Oryzias latipes: one gene and its partner. Each later gene encodes a partner of the first gene's protein in a complex. Links are inferred from orthologs where the notes say so. Each region holds a gene or a part of one and is shown in the gene's direction. Other genes may lie near its edges.

The links. Proteins that work in one complex are often made in the same cells at the same time.
Region 2: tmem231 (region 1) and tmem107 share a complex: the UniProt entries of both Homo sapiens proteins name them as parts of the tectonic-like complex. The link is inferred for Oryzias latipes from reciprocal best matches to the Homo sapiens genes TMEM231 and TMEM107.

Annotation. Positions count from the first base shown.
Region 1 is NC_019864.2:27,557,144-27,561,326, forward strand, and holds the start of tmem231 (transmembrane protein 231), read left to right. Parts: upstream 1-1,336; 5' UTR 1,337-1,615; coding exon 1,616-1,754; intron 1,755-3,446; coding exon 3,447-3,613; intron 3,614-4,183. Other genes in the region: gamma-aminobutyric acid receptor-associated protein-like 2, read right to left, coding at 687-720. UniProt on the Homo sapiens protein: Transmembrane component of the tectonic-like complex, a complex localized at the transition zone of primary cilia and acting as a barrier that prevents diffusion of transmembrane proteins between the cilia and plasma membranes.
Region 2 is NC_019874.2:18,549,823-18,553,688, forward strand, and holds tmem107 (transmembrane protein 107), read left to right. Parts: upstream 1-1,283; 5' UTR 1,284-1,590; coding exon 1,591-1,677; intron 1,678-2,007; coding exon 2,008-2,075; intron 2,076-2,156; coding exon 2,157-2,257; intron 2,258-2,498; coding exon of another isoform or gene 2,499-2,595; intron 2,596-2,671; coding exon 2,672-2,768; intron 2,769-2,931; coding exon 2,932-3,001; 3' UTR 3,002-3,353; downstream 3,354-3,866. Other genes in the region: tripartite motif-containing protein 46, read right to left, coding at 1-22, 733-792. UniProt on the Homo sapiens protein: Plays a role in cilia formation and embryonic patterning. Requires for normal Sonic hedgehog (Shh) signaling in the neural tube and acts in combination with GLI2 and GLI3 to pattern ventral and intermediate neuronal cell types.

The DNA of each region.
Region 1 (4,183 bases):
GGATTTCCTGTCTTCAGCCTTGAACAAGCACAACACAAGATGGGGGAAGTGTATGTTTCCCACTCATGATCCTCTGTTTCAGAGGAATAGTACAACATCTTCATGCAAATTCATTTCAGACACATGGATGTGCAGGGAGGATGGGAGGAGTGAGTGAGTGAGGGGAGGACTCCATCTAGGTTCATTAGCCCAGATAAAAGTTCTATCTTCAGAGGTGCTTCTTTAAAAAAAAAAGAGTCCTCAAGGTTATCCAATTACCATGAGAATGACAAGACAAAACTTCACAGAAGGATCTTATATAACACAAACTAGGCCTAATAGAAAAAAACAGTAAAAATAGATTAAAAAAAAGGTTGTTTTTTTTTAATCCACCATACTTTTTTAAGTAATGCATGCAAAATATTGAAATTAAAGCAATACTAGATGATGATGCAATGCTTTAAATGGCGTTTCTCTTGAGGTGATCCTAAACAACCTGCAGCAAATGCGTGTTAGCATGATCATGCCAAGCTAAGCAGGATCGATTTCCGGCAGGCTCCTGCGAAAACCCCGCGTTAGTGTGTCTGTGATGGGTGGTGGAGCCACATCGAAGGACACACAGTCCGCGGAGCAAAAAGGAAAAACACGCGACATGAAAAGAGGACATCTCTCTCTGGTTTCATAACAACAACCCAAACCCTTTTTACCGAGGGAATGGTCCTCTTTAAACATCCATTTCATCTTTGCTGGATTCCCGCACTGATGCGTGACGGCAGGGGCGAAAGGCGGGCTTCACGATCAGCTAACCCTGTTGGGGGTTCAAACTTGCAGAAATCCTGCCCAAAGCGACCAAAACAAAACGTCAACAAAGAGCTTCTGTTGCTCAGCTGTCCGTCTCGCGGAGAGGTGACGTCACCGTCTGGCTGTTGGTGCTCCTGGTGCGTTCAAGTGCGCCCAGCAGTGCTCGGTCCAAAAAAATCCTTGTAGTTGGGGCTGTTGACAGACACGCATTAATATCTAGTTTCTACATTAATATCCTTCTAGTTTAATGAAAACAACACCAAAGAAATACAAAATTAATACAGTCAGACTGAATAAACAATGAAACAAAAATGATACATTGAAATGCCTTAGAACGGTCATGGGCATTTATTATTAGAAACACAATTGTATAAAAAATTTTAATGCTTTTATTTGAGCTTTTATTTAAAATTAATAGTTCCCATAACAACGTAAAAAGATAATAATATATGGGAATTTTCCAGGCATGAAATGAAATAACTACTTTTGTGCTTTTACTTAATTTCAGGACCACAGAAGAGTTTCAGCATTCCCCACAGTTCATGAATGCATCCTGAACCATGGTAGCCATGGAAACCGAGGGACGCTGCAGAAATATGGCGGGGGGCTCGTTTCCTTACATGTTGCAGGGGCTAGCAAAATAGCATTTCAACGCGAAAAGTTATCAGAAAAATATGAATTTACTGGCGTTTAGAATCCAGAGGAAGATTTTTTGGAGTTTCTTAACGACCAGTTTAGGTAGTATCGACATTTTTACGCCGGTAATCATTTAGTCCGCTACTAGGTTAGCATCTCCAGCTGTAGCCTTACAGCTAGCTGTCTTTACACCGAACGTATGGCTTTCTACGAAGTGTACTCTCATCCGGCTGTAATTCGGTACAAAACCAGTGTTTGCACAAAGGCTACGCTGTTCCTGGTTGTTGTTTTGTGCCTAACCTACATCCCACCTCTGCTTGTTGCTTATAGGAGTCAAGGTACAGTATATATATCGAGGCTTTAAAGTGTCCATTTATTTCATTTTGAACAAAAGAATATATTATGTTTTTGTTAAAGTCTTTGTTTATGCTAGAATATAAAAAAAGGATTTTTATTATCTATATTACTTTACACGTTACAAAGCCTATGAGTAAAGCCAGGGCCTTTTAAATAAAGTTTTATTAGTCCAGTAAAAATAACAAATTAATAACATTTCAGCAATATTTCATTCCATTTTTACTCAGATTTATTTGATTTAGACAACAACTATTCTCTTTGAATGCATATGAATAAGCTTTTATATTAAATAACCCAAGTTTTTACAACTTTTGCTTTAAGTCTAGATATGAGTTGTTTTCAAAATGACTAAATCCATTTGTGTCTGTTGAAAGATTAGCCTTAAATCTGTTGGATGTGTTTTGATTTGATTGATGGATTTCATGCAGCTTTCAGCTCTAAAATAAAACAAAATATATACATATATATATGTGTGTATGTATATATAGTATCATTTTAAAATATTAGTTCCTAAACTGGTTTGAGAAAAATAAAATGACAGAAAATGTTTTTATACACTTGACATTACAATGTATCATAAATAGGTATATCTACACCTATTCATACAGTACACACGTGTGCAATACATTGAATCCATAAAATATTATGTTTTTTAAATAGAGTTTGATTAATTGGGTGGGAAAGAAGTGAATTTATAATCCCACACCTATTAAATTTTACCAAACTTTTTTTTTTTTGACATGTTTACAATTTTCTTCCAAATAGGTGGCCGAGCCTTTTCAGTGAATGGGGATCGCTGCAGTGGGATCTTCTGGGTCTGGTTCTTGCATCTGGGGAGTCCTGTAGTGTATTCTGTGAACTTGGGTGGGGCTCACTTGTGAGGACGGTTTATAATTTCCCCACAAAGCCGGATTTCTACTTTCTACTTTGCATCATTTTAGTGAATCATTTGATGCACTACTATAGTGTGCGTGCATGTGTGCGTGCATGTGTGTGTGCGGCGGGGGGCATTTTATGCATTGTATACATATTTTTTGTCTTGCTTTTGGTTTTTTAAAATTGGATTATGTTTTTATGTAAAACACTTTAAGTAACTCAAGTTGGAAAAACTGCTCTATAAATAAAGTTTTATTTGATTTGAATGTTTCAAATCCATTACAGGAACAGAATTTACGTTGTGTTATTTTCATGCTGGCTTTCATTGCACATTAGTGCCTTTGCTTGTAATACAACAGTAACCCATATTACCATTCAAAAATGCCCTTATTAATGCTGTGGAACAAATGTGACAAAAATGCTGCTATTTTGAACTGAATTATTCGAACATATTTGGTAAATGATGAATTATGCTTTTAAAACGTCTTCTGTAATTTTTAAAAATGGGTTCAAATGTAAAAAATGCCATGGAAAAGTCAGAAAAGTTGTTGAATTCTGGGTACATCAGATGGACATGTTTTCTGCATGACAAACCTTGTCAAGAAGCAAATTCCATTCCAAAAAAAAAAAATGAAGCAAATTCTATAGGAGATTGTGGGAAGTTTGGCTGAAGGATTCTAATAGAAATCTTATGCTATTTTATGTTTGGTTTTTGGTTTGATGGTAACATAGAATTAGAAGAAATCTCAACGTCAAAAAGTTCCTAAAACCTTATAGTTTTGTTTTTTCAATTTCAGGTTTCTGGTTAAAGCGAAGCACGTATGAAGAACAGCCGGTTGTGAGGTTTCAGTACCAGACTCTGATGGTTGCAGCCACCGGCACTCAAGGGGACTATGTGGCCTGGAGTACCTTCCCACACCTCAACAACATGCTGGGGCCCAACCTGCGGATCCCTGCCGTCTCTGTGAGAACACATTTGTGTATCACTGATATGTGTGACACTTTTTCAAGTCTTAAGAACCACATTCCTATGTCATTGTGTAAGCTGCATTTCAAAGCATTGCTCCTGTTGCCATGGCAATCTTTCATTGATTAGCCCTGATGAAAAGCTGGTCCATGCTTTTTGTTTCTATACTTTAAACCAAAACCTTAATGTGTCTAAAATATTTCTTTAAGACAAATATCTATTACCAGAAAAGTATGTTGCTGTGCGTTTACACACAAACCCATTTACCTAAAAATGATCAGAGTACAGACAAAGAGAAAGTACTTCTGTAGATCCACACACAGTTTTTGAAGAAAATATGACCAATAAGGTGTTAACACTGTGAGAAACGAGTTTTTTTTTTAAACTCAAGTCCACTTAGAATACTTACTGGCCCGCTGGGATCTTTGGCCCTTTTGAAATATAAGGTTTGTTCTTAAATCACATCACATTTTTGCTATACAGGCAAGCGTTTCAACCAAATGAACCCAGAAAGTTGTTGCTGCTTCACAGATTTTATTCTCACCTCATTTTCTCAATAATCGTGTT
Region 2 (3,866 bases), on another chromosome or scaffold:
TTTCCATCATCTTCATGTTGGACTGGAGAAGAGGGAAGAGGAAAGTTCAAGAAGACAACAGAGCTGCGACTTGATTTAAAGAAAGGAAATGATGGCAGTGATGAAGGAAATATCTAGATGAACTCTGGTTGTGTGCCGTTTATTGCACAGGACAAGAAGGAAAGAAGAACGTAACCTCCATGATGCTTAGCAGTCCTCCTGTGATTGCTTCACTGCTTCCTATTTCTAAGAGTAAATTGGCTGAGACATTATTTTTAATAAAAAAAAACAATTCAAACAATGCAGAAACATTCTGTTTGCCATTGATTGTTGCTTCTTTTTTTTTTAGGTTGTGGTGGCCCCTTTCCATTACTGCAGCCACAAGGCGCGGCATCCGGTTTCTATGACAACGCACATCTTCCTCTGGCCCTGATTTTATGCTATTTGGCAACATTCTTAGGTTCTTATATCTATTAAAAATGAATTATGTGGTCGTTGCGACTGTATATTTTCTATTGCCATTCACCACCTGACTGTGGCTTTCAGCCTATTCCGGGTTATTAAAGCGATGACAAAACATGTTTGTAAACGGTAGAAAAATGCTCCGCATTCTTATTTCATAGCCATGATTGTCCAGATCAACATACTATCAATAAAGCAAGTTATATGTAAGACTACATTATTGTTTTTCCTCTCTTAGATGTAGCACGTTTGAAATGGCTATATTAGAATAAACCGGCGTCGCACACTTACACTGATACGAACCAGCGCGTCCATGACAGAGGTAAAGGTTTGGAAGTCCTCTTCTGCCATGCTCTGTTGTTCTGATGTGCACGCTTCCAAAGAAAAAATGTTTCGTTTAAAACGATTATTAAGTGGGTGTGAAAAATAATCCCCGGCTGTTTTGTAGCAAACACTAGGCCCTGACGTGCACAGATAGCTGTGCTTGAGGTGTGCTGCTCAATCTCTGTCGTCTATCCAAATGCGAATGGAATGGTTGCTGAAACTGGTGGAGGGGGGTGGGGGCGTTTTGCCCCAAAATGTTAGCTTTATCGGGGAGCGTTTAAAAAACATTCTTTTAGAAAATAAAAACAAAAAAAAATCGGCTTTTCTACGTTCTTTAGATACGCGAGGCTATGTTCATCCTACAATCACACGTTAACTTTGTCATGTTTTATTTTTGTGTGTGTGTTGTCGTTAGATGCTAGTGTTGTGTGCTGCTTAACAACAAAGGCGATGGGTCGCATCCACTTCCCTTTTGTGTCCGGAACGTTTGGAAGGTGGATGTTTTTACGGGTCGCAATATTGGATGCACCCAGCCACTGGCTGTTGTAGCAACCCAATGCGACACCGGGGTGTGTTAAATTTCTATGTATAATTTTGTTTAGAAAAAAGACTATTAAAGAGTAAAATTTTAATTTTATAAGTTCATTGGCTTTAAAAATGCTTGATTATCATTTTTGGATTATTTATTGAACCGCGGTTGCGTTGATATACCGCGAACCAGGAGCGACGACTGTTGTGTGAGATCTGTGAACTCCAACGTGACCGTTTGGCTTTAAAATTTAGAATTTTCTAGCATTTCTGACACTTCTGTGAACCAGAAACAACATGTCTTCTATTAGCAGTCTAATTCCTGCGCGGTTTCTCACCATCATAGCTCACCTTGTCATCGTCATCACAATCTTTTGGTCCAGGGTAAGTAAGGACAGTCCGTGTTGTTGTTAAAGCTTGAAGGACGACTCAAGCTGCCATAGAAATATTTTTTATTATTATTATTAATATTATTATTGTTTTTTGTAAATATCAATAACGTGTAGTTTGTGATTTTAAAATAAAGAACAAAAGTTTTTAAAAAAATCGTGAAATAGAAATAAATTCTACTCCACAAAATATTTTTCCTAAACTGCAGAAATATAGATTTTTGTTTGCTGCAAAAAGTTTATTTCTCCTTTTTTTTATAAACAATTTTTTATCTAGAAATGTTACCATAATCGGCTATTTTATGTATTTGTTTCTGTTTTCTAGGAGAATAATGTGAAGGCATGTTTGCCTTTGGAGTTTACTCAGGAGCAGTATGACACAGAAGACAGAAAGTAAGTAACAAATGATTGAAAATATATGAAAAAATCTTGAATGCTCACATTCTAACCCGCATCCCTTTGGTTATTGTTCAGGTTGGTTGTAGCCTTGTCAGCCACTCTTGGTCTGTTTGCTATCGAGCTAGCAGGCTTCTTTTCAGGAGTCTCCATGTTCAGTTCCAGCCAGGGTCTTCTGTGTATCCTTTATACTGACAGTGATGATTCATATTTGTCATGGTCATTGATACTGAACTATTGATTCACAATTGTGAGGAAAATAAAGATTTTCAGATATTGTCTTTTCTCCAGCAGCTCTAGCTTCTAAATGAGCATCTGGTTTATAGCAGAAAACATGATTTACAAGAATAAATGAATGGATTAAACAATGCTTATTAGTCATTAGTTACAATTCCGTAACTAAGAACTTGTCTGCTATAGCAACAGGAGTCCATGCCAGTGCCTCTGTGGCTTTGCTCTTTTTTCTGTTTGAGCAGTGGGAGTGTGACATCTACTGGTGGATCTTTGCTATTTGCAGGTTAGTCTTTTGACGCCTAGCAAATCCGTTTTATCCTTTTTTCCCCAAAGTTTTCCCTGACAGCTGCTCCTTTCAGCATTAGCTGTCCACTGCTCCGCATCCGTATCTTTGTCTTTCTTTGTGTTTGAACAATGGGAATGCTGGACTTACTGGGTGATTTTTGCCACCTGCAGGTTGGTTCGCCTGCATGCTTGTTTTCAATGAATAGTTGGCTTTTAGAAAGACAGCATACTGTAACAGTCACTCTTATTTTGAAGGAATTTGAATGCATTTAAGGATTGTTCTTTTATCTTTCTGGATTTCTATTAATTTCTTTTTCTATTTCTCATCTTTCAGTGTCTTGCCAGCTTTTGTGGAGATTCTTCTGTTTATTGCGGTTTTTGGACTGAAGAAGAAGCCGTTATGAAGAGGAGTTGATTCAGATTGAATGGATGAACGCTTCCATTTGTTGCTACAAGACAGTAGCTGCAGAAATTCAGTTATTAGATCACCTTAAAAAGGGGCCAACATTGTTAGAATTTCTTCAGCAGGCATCAATAGATCCAGAAAGAATGTTTTTTTTTTCAATCTTTGTAAATATATTTTGAACTATGTAATTACAAAAAATAATTATACTATGTTGTTTGTTTTGAATAAGTTGGAGAGTTAGCAAAAGTTTAAAATGTAAACCAAGTTTTTTGTTGTCAGTAGTGTATTTGTTTCTCATGTAAAGCTTTTCAACGCTAAATCCAAAATACATTTATACTTTTTTAAATAAGTCTTATTTCTCTCATTGTATCTATCTTTATCCTCATTTGGTGACTTAATTGTCAGAGAAATATTAACCAAACTGAGCCAGAAGATAAATTAAAGTCGGGCGACAAGAGTATCCAGAACCGCAAGGTTACAAAACATGAAACAGTAACTTCATTTTTGTGCAGCTATCAAAAAAAAGAAACAGTATTTAAAATTGATTTAGGGAGGAAAAATCCTTTCCTAAATTATTAATGTAGTGAGACATGTTGTAATATAGAAGAATTATGTCTATGAAGACTCTCTTTCATCCAGGTTGATTCCATCATAGTAGTAAGTTTAGGGGCTGTCCTCTTAGTTTTTAAAGTTAGAAAACGTTTCACCTCTTATCCAAAAGACTTTGTCAATTTTGTAATATAGGCTAAAAAAGAAAGGTTTTTTGACGTAATGATCCCTCCCTTCTGCTTTTCTGCATGCAGCTGCGGACAAACCATTGCAGTTGTGATAAACAGAATCAGGCCCTGCATTTGGTTCTGGAA